Linked DNA regions of Diceros bicornis minor. The protein of the gene in region 2 interacts with the protein of the main gene of each other region in a biochemical or structural test. Links are inferred from orthologs where the notes say so. Each region holds a gene or a part of one and is shown on either strand. Other genes may lie near its edges.

Region 1 (9,906 bases), on a different chromosome or scaffold from region 2:
AAGAGGCACCTTCTAAAGCCCTATGTCTGACCAAATTCCTCCGCACGGCGTTCTACAAGCTCTGAGTGACCAGCCCCTGGCCTCCTCTCCTGCCCCCTCCCTCGCTCACCCCACCACACAGCCTGTCCCTGCACCTCACCAAGCTCGGTCCCCACCCCCCGCCCCAAGGCTGTCCCTTCTCCTGTCCCACACGACTGCCTCACCTTGTCAACCTGGGACCAGCTCAGAGGCCCTCCCAACAGCCCATCTAAAGAAGCCCCGTCACACCTGATTTCAATTCAAGGCCTGGCACCTCCCTTTAACCTGCCCCTTGTTTATTTTTACTTTTTTTTTTTATAATTTTATTTATTTTTCCCCCCAAAGCCCCAGTAGATAGTTGTATGTCATAGCTGCACATCCTTCTAGTTGCTGTATGTGGGTCGCGGCCTCAGCATGGCCAGAGAAGCGGTGTGTCGGTGCGCGCCCGGGATCCGAACCCGGGCTGCCAGCAGCGGAGCACGCGCACTTAACCGCTAAGCCACGGGGCCGGCCCTGCCCCCTTGTTTATTTGCTGGCTTTAGGATTTGTCTCCCTCAGCTCCGTGGGAGTAGGGCCTCTGTCAAGGACACCACTGTACCCCCAGCACCTGAAGCAATGCAGGCATGCAGTAGATGCTCAATAAATGGTGGCGGTCAGCTCCGCAATGCCTTCGGATCAAACCCACACCTCTCACCCAGGCCCCTGAGGCTTGGCGCAGCTGGGCCCCCGACTCCCACCAGCACTTCTGCTCGTGCCCACCCTTCCACCTCGCAGCCTTCAAAAGGGCTGACCCCACCGAGGTCAAGGCCCTTCCCGCCACTCCAGGGGCTGTGGTGGAGATTCAATAAAAGCACCACAGGAAGGGGCTTTAGCAGGGCCTGACATCTAGAAAGGAGCTAGAACTGCGACCTTGGAGAGGCTCCAGGCAGCAACTGTGTGGGACAGGGAGGGGACCTGGGCACTGCATTTGCCCGTTTTTAGTTGATTATATGTCCCCTGGCTTCCCAACCTCCCAGAACCTCCGTTTCCTCATCTGGAAAATGGAGATGCTAATTTTGGCCCCGCCCTCCTACTGGTGTTATCTGACAAGGCTCTGTGATCTGGGAAAGGCCTTCAAAATCCTAGCAGAAGTAACAAGGATTACAACTGCGAAGATATCCTGAAGGCTCCTTGTGGGTCCGGCACTCTTCCACAACAGTGGGAAGAAGGACCATTTACCGCAGCCTTACCGCTATGCCAACACAGCTATAAATGCTTTCTACAAATTAACCCATTTAACCTTCACAACAACCCATCACGTGGGAATTATCATCGTGCCATGATAGCGATGAGGAAAGGGGCTCAGAAGGGTTGAGGAACCTGCTGAAGGTCACACAGCCAATGAGTGGCTGGGCTGGATTTGACCCCTGTGCTCTAAATCGCTTCAGTGCGATGCTTTACAGAGGTTAGAGACCAAGATGCTGGATTCCTGGATCCTGGATGGGCCATGCTGGGGGGCTGGATAGCCCGACGCTTGAGAGGACCAAGGGTAGGGGTCAGGGAGGATAGATGACCTCTGGACTGCCGACTGAGCATTTACAGCGCCAGACACTATTCTAGGAGCTTCTTGTGGATCAATTCATTTAATCCTCACAACAGCCCGAGGTGGGTGCCATTCTGAGACTGCTGCACAGAGACGAACACTGAGGCCCAAGGTCACACAGCCAGAACGTGAAAGCACCAGCACTTGCATGCATGCCCACTACACCACCCTTGTGCACGGACCTCTAACTCAGGTCCCCTGGTAGCTGTGTCACCCCCTGCATGTCTCTCTTACTGTTCTCTGCCAGCACACACTCTGCCCCAGGTTAAAAGATCTCCGGGCTCAATTCTGAGAAGAGACTAGATTGCACCAGCAAGCCCAGAACTGCTGGACCGGCTGCCGGCAGAGGTGCTCCCAGCAGCCCTGGGCTCAGGGGATGAGGGGAAGGAACTGCCCAAGGGCGCAGGTGGCAGGGCCCAGGGCAGGTCCTTTGAGGTGACAGACCCACTGCAGCTTGAGACCTGGTGAGCAAAGAGTGTGTGACACCAGGGACAAACCAACCTGTGTTCAAACCCCAGCCTGGCCCCTTAGGGTCTGACAGACCTAGGGCAAGGCAATTCCCCTTCTGAGCCCCAACTGATGACTCTGCAAAATGGACAGAAACACCATATCCACCCCTCGGCAAAACTAAACCACTGTTCCAGTTACTCTGACAAGAGGTTCGTTCTGAGGCCAAGCCGGGCCAGGGGTTCACATGCCAGCTCTGCCACTTCCCGCCGGTAGACGTCGGACAAATCATTTCACTTCACAGCAGGTGTCTCAGTTTTCTGATCAGTGAAATGGGTGTCACTTCTCCCCACCTCATAGGAATGTGTGAAACGGGCATAACCATACCTACCCCATAGGTGTGTTTTGAGATTTAAACGAGGTCACGTGTGTAAAAGGTCTGTCACGTGCTTGACATACAGTGAATATTCAATAAACACTGGCTATTCACTAGCTCTGGAAATGATTTGCTTCTGTGTGCCTCAGTTTCCCCTTCTAAAATGCAGATCATGACAACAGTACCCACGGCTCTAGGACATGAGCACTCAGCAAGTTAACCCATGTGAAGCATTCTGAACAGCGAGTGGCACAGAGAATGCACTGAATACATGTCAGCCATCAATCTCATGATTATTGTTTTTACTGCTGCTGTTAACCCATCAGACAAACCCTCTAAAAGCTGGCAGAAGGAGACTAGAGGAACAAACCCCTGGTGGAGAAAAACTCTACAGAGTCACCACAGCCTCGCAGAGACTCAGGGACCTTCCTCTCCAGGAACCACAACCCTCGGAAGCCAGTCAGCTCGGAAGCCGACGCTGTGGACCAGAAGCGACCATCTACCCCCATAGACCACATCACCAGTCTGTGCTAGCTGGGTCAGTCAGGGACTGTGGCCACCCTCCAGAAACTCCAGACCCAGGACAAAGGTTACGACGCAAGCCAAGGTCACAAACTGGCCTGGGGAGCAGGGGCAGTGGCCTCACGTTTGGAGCTAGCTGCTCCAAGCACCCATACCCAGCGACCACAAGAAACCAGATCCCTAGGGGATCTGACAGCCCCAAGTCCTTCAGAGCAGCCTTCCTCCCTGGGCTGGGCTGGGCCAGGGGCACCCCCCACCCCCACCCAACCCACCAGAGTCCCCTTGGCCTATGCGGAGAGGAACAGCTGGGAAAACAGCGCTCAGCCTCACTGCCGCCTAATGGTGAGGCCAACTGTCAGCGCCTGGTGGGGAGCGTAAACATGATGGGCCGCTGGACTGCCAACCCGGGAGACACAAACAGCCTCACGGCCAGGATGGAGGGGGCTGCGGTGGTCTGTGTGGGTGCCTGGCCCCTTCGCACCCACACTAACCAAGGTCAGGCTGGGACTGAACTCCTGATGCTTCTCTGAGATGGGAAGAGTGGACAAAGTTGAAAGGAAGCCCACAGAAGGACCCAATTACTCCAGCTCAGGCCTCTAAATGAGGAGTCCTCAGAATCCAAAGAATCGAGATGTCCCCATCCACCTTGCCCTGGTGGAGAGCTGTCCCTCCAAACATTCCTTCCTCCCAAGTCTTAACAAGCAGGTCCAAGGGCGCAACTCCTCAAATCCAAGCTGGATACCCCCTCCCCTCCCTAATATGGAGCCGAAAGCTCAGAAAACTTCAGACGGCGGCTTCTAAGACATCTACCCACCCAACCCTCCGGCCCTGGAAGGAAACAATTTGCCACAGAGGTGGCCCACACACCTTAAAATAAGGCTTAACACTATGAAAGGGTTCCGAGGTAGACAGAAGTCCCCGTGACCATCCAGTTTCCCCCAAAGTCATTACGAAGTTCAATAAAGTGACCCTCCCACTCCAGCTCAGTGTAAACCCCCAAGCCCCACCCACCAAAACACAGGCGGCAGAAGCCCCTCATCACTCGGCGTTACAGCCCTCCCCAAATACCCCCCTAAACACCCACTTGGGCCTGCCCCGTCCCTCGGAGATTATAAACATCGCAGCCCTGCTCCTCTGATAGAGCGCTGCTCTCGTTCTAAGGACGGCTCCCCCCAGCTCCTCAGTGGTATAACCCGGACAGCGCTACCCCGACCACACTTGGTACAGGCCCCTCCCCAGAAGCCCCCATCTCTCTAAACACACTATAAGAACGGCTCCCGCAGCCCCGGAGAAGGACAGCCCCTACACTTGGTAAGGCGCGCCCCCTCCATGGCTAGCTCTCGCACACCAGGCACGCTCTCTCTTCACACCCCACTAGTTCAGCCCCCAGCCCGCACACGCCGGGGTCTGCGCCCCCACCCTTCAGTGGTTCGGTCCTCTCACTTTGGTATGCCCCCCCCCCGCGGCCTCAGTGGTACGGCCCGCCGCCCCCGCCCCCGGCCCCTCAGGGCTAGTCCTCCGCCCCCGCCCAGCCACCCTTCCTCAGTCCCGGAAGGGGGGGCTCGAGGACGCGGTCCCCGCCCGGCGGGCACGGGTGGTACGGCCCAGCGCGGCCTCGCGGGGGGTCCGGACGCGACCATCGCAGGGTGGGGGGGCGCTCGGAAACACGCGCTGGCGCACTCACCTGTCACCGGCGGCCGCCCAGCCTCTCCGGCGGGGCTCTACTCCCGCCCATCGCCACGCTGCGCTTGGTCCCGCTCCTTGTGTTTCCTGGCGGCAGCAACGGCGGCAGCAGCGGCAACGCCTTCTCCGAGCCAGGCCCAACGGCTCGCGAGGCGCGGCCCCCCCCGCCCCCTCCCCCCTGCCCCCGCTTACCGCCCCCTCCCACCCTCTGGCCGGAAATACCGCCTTCTCCCGCCACAAACAGGAACTGACGTCAAAGAGCGAGAGCTGGACTCGGAGAGGGCTAGAGCGCAAGCGCAAGGAAGGGGCAGAGACGGACTCAGAGCAGGGCGCCTGCGTACATTAGGCAAGTTTGGGCCTGTGTGGGTAATGGCCGTGTCTCGCGCAGGCGCGGGACGGAAAGAAGGGATAGGAGTGCGCAGGCGCAGTAGGCCTCTGACGCCTGCTTTCCCTAGAGGCTATAGCCGCAGTGACGTTTCCCGGCAGTCCCTGGTCCTTATTTACATACGCTTTGATCTCGCTTTTCTCTGCTGTCGCCTTTCCTCCCGGTTCCGAGGCTCTTAAAGAGCCCTGGAGCGGGGCTTAGGAGGGGTGGCCTTTTCAGCATGTCCCTCCTGGTTGCGCGCAGGCTCTGAAACCACACAAACCCAGCTTTGCATTTTCTTGCTGGTGACTGTGGACAGAAGGCTCCACTGTTTCCTGTGCCTCAGTATCCACATCTGCAAGATGGCAACAACCATAGCTGCATCACTGGGCTACTGGACTATTTTATGTACACAGAACAGTTTATATCAGACAGTCTATGACTCCAAAATATGCAACCTACCTGCTCATCATACATATTCAATTAAATATGGGGTTTAACTTTTTTATGGGGTAACTTGCGCCTTTAAAGGCGTTAAGATCGCTTTGCAAGGAAAGAGCTTTGCACAGATCCTGGCCCATACATTAGCTAGCATACTAGACAGCTGTGGGACATCTGGCGCCTAGTCCCTTCTCTCTCATAGGTTGGGTGGGGCTTGCTACCTTCTGAATTTGGGTTCCAGGATGCCCCACAGCTTGTCAGGTATGCATTGGTTAGTGCATACTTCTTCTAGAAGGCTTGGCTGGGAGTCGAAGAATCCTGGGTCCACCTAAGTCTGTGAGGGTGTCTCAAGCAAGTCCTGCTCAAGGGTGGATCTTGGTTTTCTCAGAGGTAAACCTAATGTTGGAACTAGCCCTTAGGTAATGGGTTTCCAGCTTGGAACTCGCTGCTCTGTATTCCTAATTCATGGTTTTCTTCTATCCCAGTGTTGATAACTCTGACCAATGCCTCCCCCACCACAGCCCTGACCATTTTAGTCCCTTAGTGTCTGGTGACAGGTCTGTCTCCTCCACTGCACAGAGAGCCCCACGAGGCAAGGGACCAGGACTGTCTCAGTCATCAGTGTGTACCCAACACGGGCCAGCAAAAGTCCTGGCACAGAATGGACTCTTGGGGAATATTTGTTTCAAGAATTATCCCTTCTGCTCTAATCTACATTCAAGTAGTCACTGTGGCCTACACTCTTTGCTCCTCTCCATGCTGCACAGCTCACAGCCCATCCCCCTCCCTCTAAATCTTCCTGGGCTAACTCAGTCCCTGCCCCTCCTAGGGCACACAATGGATTATCTCACTGAAACATCCCATGTGGTTACGTATAAACTCCTTGGGACAGTGGTCGTGGAAGGTCATGGCTTTCAAACCATTTTAAGACCTAGTACACACATACGTGGACTTACAGTATAATGAAACAAAGTGTCACCAAACACTATTTACTCTTATGTATGATGCACTCTGATTTTTTTTTTTCATTGCTGTTAGAGACCCTGCTGACTGATTTTCTGACCCACTAATGGGTCGTGCCTTGCAGTTTGAAAAACACTAGTCTAGGGGTGAACAGTGCTCACTGGCTTTGGAGGGAGACAGGCCTAGTTCTAATCATGCCTTTCCTGTGTCCTTGTCAAAATCACTTCACTTCTCTGAATTTGCCTTTCCTCATTGCAAAATATCAATAGAATTTATTTAGCAGTTGTTACTGGCCAGGTTCTGTTCTTAAGACATTCCCAGCGATGCTACCCTGTTGCTGGCAACACAATCTTAGAGGTCAGATGCAACAGTACCTTAAGGGGCTCACTCAAGGTCCCAGGATAAGTTGCGGTAGAGGTGGGATTTGAAGCCAGGCGGTCTGATACAAGAGCCTGCGGTTTGAACTCACATCATGCTGGAAAATAGAAAGTATTATTGGCCCTACTTCTGTCCCCTGTGTTGCTTTGGCAAACCACTTAATTATCATTTGGGGGCCTCAGTCTCTCAATTTCCACCTCAAGGGTGATTGAGGAGAAAATTCCCTAAAACCCCAAATTGTTCTCTACCCTCTAATCTGTTCTGTGAACTCCCCGCCCATGACTATAAATATGGGCTGTGCATGCATTTTTCTGGGGAGAAGGGCCAGTGGCTTCTCATCTGAAGTCTGCTCAAAGTCCTCTTAATTCAGAAAAAAAGTGATTTAAGAATCCTGCCCTGAGGGATGGAGAGGGCATCTCCCTCTGTCCCCAAGGAGCAGAAATCAGCCCCCGAATCTGTTTCAACCCTTCTCACCAAGACTGGGCTCCCAATGGTGACTGGACAAGCTGCGTGGACCAGCTCTTAGCATCCCCAAATGAGGAGGCTTCCACTCCATCCCCACGAGGTCCGGAGGTCTATCCTTGGCAGTGGTGGAGGTGGCCGTGGGGGGAACCCTCCCTGCCACATGGGCAAGCAGGCAAAATCAGAATTCCTCATTTCTTCATCTGAAGCAAAGCATTTTCGAGGGAGAAAGTCCATAGCATTGATCAGATTCTCAGAGAAGTCTGGAACCGTTAGAAAAAAAAAGTTTTTATTTAAAAGAGTTTCCCACGGTATACAGAAATGTTGAAATAATATCTTTGAGTCCCCAGCCAGAAGTCACTAAGCCCCCACCCTAGATGCTACTGTGTTGGGAAGATCCTTTTAGAGTCACTTAAGTGTTTGGCAGAGGTACAGATAAGCCTCAGGGATTCTGTAAATGTTGGTTCCAATTTCCTTTTTATAAAATATGTTTCTGTTTCAAAAATTGTAATAGAAGACACCATGCACCATGCACATTCAACTTTTTAACACATCAGAGATTCCCAAAACGTTTACATGGTCGTGCTAGGCTAATGCACTCTTATGCAGACCCTGGGAGGAAGCTTTTTCTACTCGGTAAGATTGAACACTTTACCGATCTGCTCCAAACACATGGATGGCTTCCCATCCCCTGTGGAATAAAAGCTAAAGGCCTCACCATGGCCTTCTGTGAGCTGCCCCTGCCTATCTTTCTAACTTCATCTCAAGCTGCTCTTGCCCTTGACCACTGTCTTCTAGACACACTAACCTCTTCTCTGCCCCTTCAAAAAGATAAGCTTGTTCCTACCTCAGGGCCTTTGCACTTGCTGTTCCTGTTGCCTGGACTGTTCACCCCCCTGATCCTGATCTTTTCATGACTGGCCCCTTCTTGTCTTCCAGAACTCAGTTCAAATCTCACTTCTTTAGAGAGGCTTTCCCTGGCCATCCCAAATCCAAGAGGGCCACACTATCACTATCTCTGTAGCATCTTTGAATTCCCTACTTAACACTAGACACTAAAAGCTATTTTTGCTGTTTATTTTGTAACTGTCTTCCCCCAAACCAGGATATAAATTTGCCCTGAGGGCCAAGACCTTGTCTTGGGCACCACTGTATTCCCAGCCCCTAGAACAATGCCTGGCACCTAGTTGGGACTTGGGGATCAATAAATATTTGTTGACTGAATGTGGTTTTGACTGGGAAAGTTAAGGCTCTGTGTGTATGGACTGATTTTTACTTCAGGTCTGAACTTGCCTGCTCACAAATAAGTTGAACAAATAATAATAATCTCTTAACCTTTATTGAAGAATTCCCCTGAAGTATCAGGTGCAGTGCCAAGAATATATCCATGACCTTGTTACATGTTCCTGCAGGAAGAGCCTCTGTGACTCTAGAATATGTGGCCCCCAGGTCCATTCCCAAAGATGTCCCAGGCCAAGCCCACGCTTGCACCAACAGCACTCGACACCACCTCCATGGGTCCAAATTTGAGATACAGCAAAGTCTTGTTTTATGCTAAGTTAAAGTACGTGGATTTGAAACAGCAAAATACCTAGAACACAGTTTCATACATGATTAAGAAAAATTGAGATAATATGAATATCACCTAGCTTTTTTTAGGTCATCAAGAAGGGAATCATTTCACAGCAGCAGACAAGGTGACTTAGAAACCCTATTCGCGCTGTTGCCACAAGATGGCGCCACATGAGCTGGCCATCCCCGCTGGGCCGGGCTGACTCCCAGGCATCAAGCCGACCTGGAGCAAGTTGGGCGAACTTTGTGCTGTTATTGCAACATTCACTGTTTAAAAGGGAGCTCTGACACGGCACCTAAATGCAACACGTGATCCGGAATTGGATTCTGAGCCAGGGGAAAAATGGCAATAAGGAACATTACTGGGAAAATTGATGAAATTGGAATATGAACGGGGGTTTAGATAAGAGTATTGATTCCACGTGAAATTTCTTGATTTTTGATAGTTGTACTAATTCTTATGAAAGAGAATGTTCTTGTTCTTAGGAAATACACAGTGAAGTATTCCTAGGTAAAGGGTCATGGTGTTCTCCACTTTAACTCTCAAATGGTTCAAAAACACAGCATGTGTATCTGTACGTATGTATGTATGCCTACGGGGAGGGGGTGGGGGGAGGAGGGAATGATAAAATAAATGAAGTGAGAACTGGCAAATCCGGACAAGTATACGGGAATCCCTTGAACTATTCTTGCTGCTTTTCTATACGTTTACAATTACACTAAAATACAGAGTTACCCAAAAAGCTCTTTTTTGTAGCCAATGAGAATGTCATTAAAGGGTTCTTTAAGTGGTGGTGCTAGTGCTGGTGCTGAAAACTTTCCCTGAAAATCATCAATTTCAGAGATAAAATTAGGTAACAACACTGTGCCAGGCGCTGTTGGAAGCCCTTCTCACCAATCGACTCATTTAATTCCCACAATTGGGCCGGCCCTGTGGCTTAGCGGGTAAGTGCGCGCGCTCCGCTGCTGGCGGCCCCTGTTCGGATCCCGGGCGCACACCGACGCGCCACTTCTCTGGCCATGCTGAGGCCGCGTCCCACATACAGCAACTAGAAGGATGTGCAGCTATGACATACAACTATCTACTGGGACTTTGGG
Region 2 (10,652 bases):
CCTTAGACTAGGGAAAAACTGTTCTTTTTATAAGGATTGCAGCATTTGCATCAACTCAGATTACTGAATAATTTTGTTCGTGGTTTTGTCCTCCACTCTCCGTGCTCCTTCCCAAAGTAACAGACATTATCTCCTGTTTTATCAATCTCAACTATTTTATCCAAGTTAAAAGGCTCAAGTTCAGTTGGGCTTCTTGGCAAGTAATTTTTCTCATGCTGAAGAAGAAACATGAACTAAATTAGGAAAATCATAAGCCAGAAAAAGAATACTAACATCATAAAAATCTCAAAATAATTTACCTAAGAAAGTGAAGCTCTATTTTGGGAGCTTAGCAGTTCAAATAAATGAACATTACAGCATTACATAGTCAATTTCTATGTTAGAAAGAGAAGTTAAATTCAAAGTATGTTAAGTTGAATGCTTGAGCCTTCTTCTTAAATTCCTTTTTATCAGTAATCAAACATTCAATGCATTCCTTACAACAGGTAAGGTGATGTGTCAACAACTAAGCTACTTCTACTCATAGCCAGAAGCTATGCCTTCTCTAGTCTAATTAACAAGGAAACAAAATCTCTCCAAAGAAGGAAATCTACTCCCTAATTAAGCTAGGCAGACCTGGGTCAGGTGTCTCAGAAATGATCAACCTGATCACTGGTTCTGAGGTTAAAATATTCATGAGTCCATATACACTAATCAAGGCACCAGTAAACTCCATAAAAAAAAGGGAATCTAAGAAAAGTGCTATAAGCAAACCAATTTCCCAACATGTGGGCTTCAAATATGGAAAGAAAATCTCCCTAACCCAAAGTACTCACTATCTTTAAAAAAAAATTAAATATGAATCAAAAGAAATCTGATAGCTTAGCGATGAAAAATGTTTTCTAGTGATTAAAATGCTTTATATACTTTACATCTAGTGATGTAAATACTTTACATCATTTGTAAAAGATGAGCTTGAGAAGGAAGTAAGGGAAAGGTTATAAGGCAGTTACTCTGTTAGAGCTGTCTGTCATTCACATCTGTGAATTTACACTATCTAATGCCATCCCAAGTGGTTGTTCCTACATTAAATGGAAGAAGTCAGTTTTGAGTGTTTACTATGAATATTTGAAAAAAATATTCTCATCCAGATCAACCGTTCTTTAAAAATAGATTCTATCAGAAAAAAAAAAAAAATAGATTCTATCAGTTCGGTCAATTATCAAAATTGTTTCTTCCAACAAAAACAGAATTGTTTTAATTATCTGATGTCCATAACTACTTTTTATTTTTACAAAAATGAGAACAGCATGCCTTATTAGGGTACCATTAGCCACAACATAATTTAGAGTTATTCAGAATACCTTACCGTCTAGAAATTTTTTAAGTTATTGTAACTGTCGAAATACTTAGCTTCACTTAAAATTATTTCAGCCCAAACCCAAAACCCAAGAAAAATCATTTTGATGGAAACAGTTCATTTCACTCCCTGTTAAACCCAACATAAAGCTAGATTCTCTGCTGTTTTAGCATAGTACTAAATGACATTTCGTTGCTACGGAAACGAAACTCTGCTACCTGTGGCCATGCTTTGTCAAGAATTCCTCCAACCAGTAAATTCTGTGCTGTGCATTCATAAAACCAATAGAATGGCTCTAAGCAACATAAAAATGAAGGCTTGATTTCCTACTTATGATTTGCCCCGTGCATATTTATAACATGTATACATATATGTACACATACATACATAATTATGGCTCTCCCAACTCCACCAAAAAGGTAAAACCCAACCAAATTTCCGTTTTAAAATGGGCATAAAAAACTGCTGCTTTAGATTTCATTGAATAATTGCCACCTATTTCCCAAAATTTATCTTAAAAGGTAATAGAGACTATCTAGAGAGAATTTTAAAAACAAGAAAATTTTTTATATCCAATCTCATTCCAAAAGGAAAAAAATTTTCCTGAGGCATCATTTCCTATATGTTCCAGTAACTGTGGCTTCCTTAGCAATGAGCTGATTTAGAAAACATCAAGCTAAAGAATAAAGAAAAAAAATGTGGTCATCACCACCTTTATGCCCCAAACTGCTTCTGCAGGCTACTCACCCTCACAGGGGGGCTCCAGGCTTGCACCCGTGGCTGCTGTCCACTCTGGGAGCTCTGCAGATCTTTTGAGCTACAATTAGCCACCGTGCTGCTCTGAGCCCTTAATGCATTTGTGCAGTTCGTCCCACTGCCCCCACCAGGGCCAGGTTTCCAAGGCCTCTGCTTGATGCCATCCAGAAGTCGGACCAGCAAGATGTTACTTGGAAGCTCCTCAACACCCGAGCCAACAAGAGTCCTGCACTCGGGACATCTGAGTTCATTTCGGGAACCTACGATCCCCAGCAAACATCGTTTGCAAAACGTATGCTGGCAAGGCAAGACCTTTGCAGAAGCATCAAGCCGCTCTAGACAAACAGGACACTCCAGAAGATCCAACAAGGCAGATTCATCCATCTTTATCTAGTTTACTGCAGAAACCGCTTCAGAAATGTTCATAGTTGTGGGCACCCCTTAAAGTGATTCATGTAACATCCATTTCAGACTTTGCTCTGGAGCCATGGGGGGAGAGGGAGAAAAGACAGAAAATCAGTATCGTTATCTGGGGAAAAGGCTCACAGAGGAGCCAAGAACCAAAAAGTACACAAAAGGGCTTCCTCTGAATAGTGTAGCTTTGCTTTGGAATGTGGTTCCTGAACTCCAAAGTCAACAATTAAAAACAAAATAGGCTTTTTAAACAATTCAAAATTAACTCCTAAAGATATCTAGGAGTTCACTGTGCAGAAATGGCTATCAAGTACCATACAGGATTCCTGCAATAAATAGGTTTTATGCAATGCAATAAAGAATATAATTTCTTCAGCTCTCAAAGTTATAACAGCTGCCTTAATAAAGTCCTCAACTCATATGAGAAGCTGAACAGAAGCAATGGAAAGTTTCCTCCACCTGAAATTACTTTTAAATCTAACAAAGTTCCCAATATTTAAGCCACTTTAGTATTTAAGAAACCATGCCTCACGTGATGGGTTGTGGTTAATGACCCCAATATTATTAAATACATATGCTTCTTCACTGGTCTTAAAAACAGAACTGTCTAATCTTGCCCAACCAAAATGAGCTGAAGGTTGACAATTCTAAAGGACACAACTCAACATTGGCTTGAAAGCAGCTAAAATATAAAGGCACCCTTCAGAGCAGTGGTTGACAAACTCTGAAACGGATTTCTGAACGGCCTGTCCTAATCCCATTCAGAAAATCTGGCAAAATTACCACCCAAAGAATTTGACAATGGAATGCTGGCCTGAAAACTGTGAGCATAATACGAAAATGGGGCCATTCAAGAAAAAGCATTTAAACCAGTGACTGCGCCGCTCTGCCCCCACCACCAGAATCAATGTAAACGTAAATGCCTAGGAGAAAGGGGGTAAAAGGATTTTGATGGGAGCATTAACAGCTGTTCTTGACAGTGTCGGGGCGGGGGAAGCCCTGGCGGCGCCCCTCTCCCACGCTGCCCGGCACAGGTACTCCGGACCGCAGGAGGCGCGGCGGGCGGCCGCCGCAGACACAGCCCGGAGCCAGGTGTCGGCGACACGGGGCCGGGGAGGGTCCTGGGCTGGGGCTGCGGCCCGGCGGGGCCGGAACGGGGCTCTCCTTCAGCAGCCTCATCTCCGCCTCCCTTTGGGTCAGGCCGGACACAAAAATCCCCCCGCGCGACTGCGGGAAGTTTTCAAGGACTTAAAGATGAATTCGCAGCCTTAAGTTGCGCAAGTCAGCCCCATCAAGTGCCAGCGGGAAAGAGCCAAAAGCCCGCAGAGAGGAGGCGGGAGTCCCCAGAGAGACCGGGCCAGCGGAGAGCAGGGGGCGCTGGGCTGCGCCCGGGAGACCGCGGCACCGAGCCCGGGCAGCTTCCTGCCGGGAGAGGGAGCGAGGCCCCGGCTCCGGGCCCACGGGGCCCCGCGGCTGGGGGACCGAGAGACTGACCAGCGCGGGGGGGGCCCCCGACCACCGCCTCCTCGGGTCCCCGCGCCCCCCCGCGCCCTACCTCGCGCCTCGGCTCCTCCTCTTTGTTCGTGGCCCCGCGGCGGCGGCGGCGGCCGAGGCAGATGCGGCCCCGCCGCGCTCGTCGCTCGCAGTGTCTCTGACGCCGCCGCGGCACCGGGAGACTCCTCTCTGCCGCCCCCCTCCCGCGCGCACACGCAGCCGCCGCCGCCGCCGCCGCCTCCCACTCTCCCAGCCCAGGAGGGCGGAGGAAGAGGAGGAGGACGAGGAGGACGAGGGGGAGGCCGGGCCGCAGCCGGCGCCCGGGGCGCGAGGGGGCGGCCCCGCAGCACAGCGCCTCCCCCCGGGCCGGCCGCGCCTTCCTGCCGGCGCTGAGGTACCTGCGCGCCTGGCCCCGCCGGTGCCCGGGGGCGGCTGGGGCGGCCGCCTAAGGGGGCGCTGCGAGCGCCGAGAGTCCGAGAAGCGGGGTCCCCGAGGGGAGTGAGGGGGAAGGTTTGGGGACAGACGCCGCCGTCTGAGGAAAACACGCCTGAAAAATGGAGCAACCGAAGGAGAGCGTGGGGAGGGGCAGCTGAGGGAAGAAGGCAGGCGCCACAGGGCAGGAGCGGCCACGTCGTCCTCCTGCCCGGCGGTGCCCGGCGGCCCGCGACGGACGATCGGGGCGGGCCCCGCGCGGCGCGGGAGGGGCTGGGTCCCGGGAAAGGGCGGGAGCAGCCCTGGCGGGAACTCAGCCCACTTTGCGCTGCCTCTGTTCGCCCAGCCCTGGAGAGCCAGTTGGGAGAGGACGAGCGAAGAGCTGTTACCCCCTTAGGACCCGGAGAGGCATGTTGAATCCGTGGCGGGACAGTCCCAGGGCAGCCGTCCACCCGCCGAGTCCCCGGCCGCCGCCGCCCAGCATTGCTCCCCCATCTGCCTGCTCCCAGGCATCACGCCGCCTCCGCCGGGACACAAACCCGAGCAAGCTGGGAGGATTGCTGCCCCAGAAACTCAAAATGGGCAGGGAGAGAGGCTAGGAAAACAGCAGTGTGGGTTTAAAACCCAGCCCTGGGAGGCCTTGTTATACCCGCCCTAAAAAGGGAAAATTCAAAGTCTGACCTCAGGTGAGCTGGCACCGCGAAGCCAGCTGAGAGGCGCCTCTTTTATCTGAGCCTGGGAGGCAGCCGTAACCATCACTGTAATCTTTGTTTTGGTTGCCCCAGGCACACACCTGTAAGCTCTGAAATGCAGTTTTGAAAAACCTGTCCACAGGTTTTGAGGTTTGTTTTTCAGACTCAATTTAGAGGGAAAACAAAATTTTGTCATTATCTCCAAGACGTTATTATTTTATTTACATTTACCATCAGCTTACAAAAAGCTATCCCAAATACCCTTCCTCAAAGGTGTACAGAAACTAGGTGAAAACAAGGAGAAGGGGTTACAGATATTATGCAAGAAATCCCTGCCTGGCCACTAACCAGGCTGACATTTTGAAGAGGAGCCAGATTATCTCCACTCTCTGGCCAGGGCCACAGCTAAACCATTCAAGACAGATGAGAATCACCTAGTAAGAAAAAATTATAATAGCTAACAATTATTGGTCATTCACTGTATGCCAGTCACTGCACTAAACATTTTACATGCATTAATTTAATCCTCATTGCAACCCTGTACGTCATCCCCCCTTAGCTTTGTTCAAGTAGATTAGCATGCTGAGAGCCATACTGTGTGAATACCAGAAATAATAGCCCAATTCCCCCTCCATTAGAAGTGAGCAAATACACATGCATTTGAGCTGAGAAAGCAAGGGAAGGAATGAACACAATGGAAAATTTTTAATCCAGTAATCTACAAACAAGGCACTGTGAAAGTGACTACTTAGCCCATATACTGCATCTGGAACTGTGCAGATGAAGGAGAGTCTGACTGGAAAGTTACAGTCAGTAAACAGATAAATATTATTACATGCAGTTTACAGTTATTAAAACTGAAGCTCACATAGGTTCACTTCATCCCCACATCACACATTCGATAAGTAATATTGGACCAAGACTCAGCCTCAGGTCTCTAGATGCCAAGTCCCCTCTCTTTTACACATCACCTCAGGCAAAACCAAGTTAACTATGTCTTCTCCCAAGGGAAAGATGACACTGTCAATCATGAGGTTACTCTGAAGAGCAAGGGACAATTTTTGTTTAGTGATTTTGGTTTTTTGTTTTTACGGAGAACAGAATACAAAGTCATGTGTGGAATGGTGCAGCTCTTGAAACTAGCCAAGAAAATCAGTAGTCACACCCATTATCAAAGAGCTGAAGATAGTGACTAAGACTGCAGTCATCAAAGAAACCCGCACACATCCCATGAATATTACCTGGAACATAGCTGCAGTTCTTTGAACATCCCTGATGCCAGTTCACTATATTTTTTAGAACACAACTCTTTTATTAGCCTAATTACTCTAGCTGTAATATGAATTTTTAGGAAAATTACATTAATTTCTTGAGCCATTGTCAATGCAAATAATCCATAATCAATCTATAAATCAAAATTTGGGGTGAGTTTATTATGAGTCAGGTCTGAGGACTATAGCCCGGGGGGCTTCCTTTCCCAAGGAAAGAAGCACACCCCAGAAATGGAGTGTACAGAGTGGTTATATACTGTCTTGGGACATCAAATATGACAGGAATATCTCTTTTACTACTGTCATAAGATGCTTAGCTGGCACAGCAGGTCAGTGGTCACAAGGTGAGCACAGCAGTTTGGTAATTAATCCTTAGTTTTTAGGAAGAGATGCTTATCCTTAAAGAAATGCTGATATAGGGGAAAGCTACATCCCTATCCCTATCTTTAAAGGGCATCATTCTTGTCTTTGGGACATTGTAGACGTTTAAAGCAGATGTACAATGCATGCTCAACAGACCACATCAGGCCCCTTTGGAAGAACAAGGTCAGGCCAAGTTATTTTTAAACAAAATGGGTTCCTCAAATACTCCAATTTATCTTATTGCTTTTCATTTATTCATCACCAACTTCCTTCTGGCAAATGGTGAAAAAATAATACCTTTCTTTGAGTGTTCTTGGAGGATTCAGTGAGACAATGTGCTAGATCTTTGTAATCTGTACATCTCTATTAAAGAAAGATACCATCATTGTCATTATCTGCCAAGAATTACCCAGACAGAGTTATCCTGGGCAAAATCCTTTCTTCCCAGGGTCTTAAAAAAGTTTGAGACAACACTAATTGCAAAATCCTGTCAAGAGAATACTATAGGAAAAGGGACAGTTGGGGAAAGAGAAGTATGTACATCTTACCATTTCTGGGAACTGAACTGAAGAAAAGAATGTAAGCAAGATATACTTATGGTCCCTGTGACTTTGAGTAGATCTATGAAAAATACAAACACACTCTGTACATAAAAATGGCAGCTTGGATTTATACAGTTCTTATCCTCCTGAGACGTCAGAGTACTTTCATATATGTTATTTATGTTCTCAGCATCCCTCCGAAGCAGTAAAGACAGATATAATCATCCCCATGTTGCAGATGGGAAAAAATGAGGTATAGAGAAGTTATTGCTCTTAGTGATCTTATGACACAAATTAGGCTTTTAAATTCCCAGTCCAGAGCACTCTTTTGTGAACTTGGGTGTCATGTTTACACATGCATATATATACGTGTCTGATCATCATTTTCCTTCAAAACTTACTCCTCCTCCAGTTGCCACAATATTGGTAGATGGCAGCACTATTTACCCAGTTGTTTAAACTAAAAATCTAGGGATCATCTTTGATTTCTCCCTATTCCTCTCTATCCCTCTCCATCAACAAGTCTGCCAGCTACCCCCAAATTATATTTCAATTTCTACCCACTTCCCTCTGCCTCCATTGCACCTTTATTTAAGCCACCATCACTCTTTGCCTCTGGTCCTCCTAGCCAGCTTCTCTGCTTCCAGCCCTGTTCCCACAATCTTGCCCTGAATGTAGTGACATTCAGGGCAAGCTACAAAAAATGCGTAACAGATATGTTGTTACTCCCTTTCTCGAAACCCGTCAATTTCTTCCCATTATACTTGGAATAAAAATCAAATGCCTTCCACGTCTTAGGAGCCGCTATGTCACCTGGACGCTGCACCATCATGCTCTACCACGGCGCTCCATTTATCTTCTTTATAGTACTTTTTACAGTCTAATTTTTTGATTCCTTATTTATTGCCTATCTCCCTTACCTGGATATAAGCTCCCTGAAGGCATGGACTGGATCTGTCTTCTTCACCATTGTATCCTTGACAGCCAACCAATAGTGAGTACCAGTGAATAATTCTCAGAGAGGAAATTAAGTATAGAATTATATTTGTTACTGTCCTAAAGCTACATATATACTTAGTACTTCATTGCCCTACAGAGAGGAAATCAGGCAGACAATGTTCCAAATTCCATTGAGTCATTCTTCTACTAGTTTTTACGTAGAAGAAGAGGACACATGATTCGTCCTCTTATATTTCACAGTTAGGCTAGAGAAATGCCAGCTATATAACAGAGAACATAATGGAATACCAGTTTGTCTTCATTCTAGATCTTAGTTAATGGTGTCACCATCTACTGAGTTCCCCAAGCAAGCAAGAAAAATGCAAAGTTATCTTCAATTCTTCCTTCTCTCTCTGCTCCCTCCCCTACCTCCCATCCAGATAGATGATCCAGAGTTCATCAGAAATGCTTCTTACACCTGTCCCTTCCTCCCAATCTTTATTTCACGCCTGTTTATCTCCTACTTGAACAATAACTACTTTCCCTGCTTTCAGTCTCTCCAGGGTACTTGATTCTGGAGACAGCTTTGGAGTCGAAGGCTCTTTCATCTACTAACTGGGCAAGTTTCTAGTCTTCTGTGCCTGAGTTCTAAAGTGGGCATAATACTACTACTTACCTCAGGGATTTTGTGGAGATTTTACATAAGTTAATACAAATAGAATGCTTTGAACTATGCCCAACACATGGTAAGTGCTTAATAAATGACAGCTAATATTATTATTTTTATTAGAATCTAGATTCAATCCTGGATCTATTACTTGTTAACTGAACGACTTTCCAAATTTCTTTAATTTTCTGACTTTCAACTTCCTTATCTATACAAATGGGTATGTTATCCACTTTGAAAGCTTGTTGTATAAAGTTGATGACAAAACTCATTGAAAAATCTAGCACAGAGCCTTTCTGGCACATAGTGGGGACTCAATAAAATGTTCGTTTCCTGCCTCCTTTCCTATGTATCTATCTGCATCTATTTCTAATTAGAGAGTGGATTGGATTCTCTCTAAGGTTCTTTCTAGCATTAAAAGTTTATCTCCATCCTAATTGCACAAAGGACATCTAAAGACAATGAAATCCCCTTGTAAAAAGCCAAGTGGTCATGAGGCACCATAGTTGTCAGGAAATGGGCTGTTAGAGTCAGGCAAACCCAGAGAAGCTATTTTGGTCTGCAGTAGTGGGAAGGTGGTGCACACTCCCCTGTCTGGCAAAAAATCTGAACAGATGGAGTATTTATAGGCACTCCGCAAGGATTTCAGTTCAGTCAGAATGGATGCTAAGGAGAAAAACTGATGAGTGGGAGGTAACTGAACCGCTTCTTCCTCCAACCTTCTTGAAACAGGTCTGAACATTTGAAGAGCTGTTTGACAGCAGAACACCTGGGGTGGGGAGAGCTGGAGTTCTCTAAGCTGACTCGAATTCTAACCCAGCCTTCAGGGAGTGGTTCTTGAGGTTTAGTGCAGTCAGAATACCTGCAAACCTCATTAAAAATGCAGACAGCCTAGCCTCATCCCTAGAGATGCTCACTTAGTAGGTCTAGCATGGGTTCAAGAATCAGGTGATTCTAATGTGGGTGATGCTGGGACCACAATTTGAGAAATACTAAACTCAAGTCACCCAGAGGAACATTAAAAGAGAGATACCCCAGGTGCTGACAAGGGAAACTAATCTATAAAGGGCCATCTAGGGCTTTGGTTTTGTTACGAAGGATATGGGAGCTTGAAGCCATTGCTGGTTTGCTGAGGACAACAGGAGAGTGACTGAGTGTTGCCACCTCCAGTCGGCCTCCCTCTTCCATGCCCATTCCATGCAGTGCTCAGCCTTTCCTCTTAATAAATGCTGGACAGATTTTTAAAGAATATCAGTTTAAAAAGGAGTCAAAATATTAGCCTGCCCAGAAAAACACACGTGACTGGCCCCAAGTTACCCCAGGACCCCAAATGTGGACCAGGGTCACCCACATGAAGCTCAGAAGGTCCTGTTGCTTGGTACTGTTCAACTTCAATGCCTGAAAAACTAGATGCCCCTAATATATTTGTGACCCAAGTTCAAAGATAAATTTAACCTATATGGGAATAATATAATAGGATTCCTTCCTTTCTATTAAAAATACTTTCTCTTGTCAAATTCCTTATCATTTCAAAAGTTTAAACCTTGAAGTGGTCTTTTGCTTCTAAGCAAACTTTACCTAACCCAAACTCTTAGAGAGAGAGTAGATAAATATCCATCACTTTACCTAACCATCTTCGGGAAATGAAATTCCATAATCTTTCTTGGTAACTCATCTTTATATATTAAAGGTTGTTTATCAGTTTTCAGAATTCTTTTTTTCTGATCAAATTTAAAGATAAAG

The links. The genes of interacting proteins can lie anywhere in the genome.
Region 1: the proteins of SH3RF1 (region 2) and AKT2 form a complex in vitro, tested with the Homo sapiens proteins (2 studies listed by BioGRID and IntAct, with this or other methods). The link is inferred for Diceros bicornis minor from reciprocal best matches to the Homo sapiens genes SH3RF1 and AKT2.

The regions. Positions count from the first base shown.
Region 1 is NC_080773.1:13,913,814-13,923,719, forward strand, and holds the start of AKT2 (RAC-beta serine/threonine-protein kinase), read right to left. Parts: upstream 4,784-9,906; 5' UTR 4,630-4,783; intron 1-4,629. UniProt on the Homo sapiens protein: Serine/threonine kinase closely related to AKT1 and AKT3. All 3 enzymes, AKT1, AKT2 and AKT3, are collectively known as AKT kinase.
Region 2 is NC_080750.1:56,095,391-56,106,042, forward strand, and holds the start of SH3RF1 (E3 ubiquitin-protein ligase SH3RF1), read right to left. Parts: upstream 4,969-10,652; 5' UTR 4,825-4,968; intron 4,768-4,824; exon of another isoform or gene 4,065-4,767; intron 2,575-4,064; 5' UTR 2,480-2,574; coding exon 2,087-2,479; intron 1-2,086. UniProt on the Homo sapiens protein: Has E3 ubiquitin-protein ligase activity. In the absence of an external substrate, it can catalyze self-ubiquitination. Stimulates ubiquitination of potassium channel KCNJ1, enhancing it's dynamin-dependent and clathrin-independent endocytosis.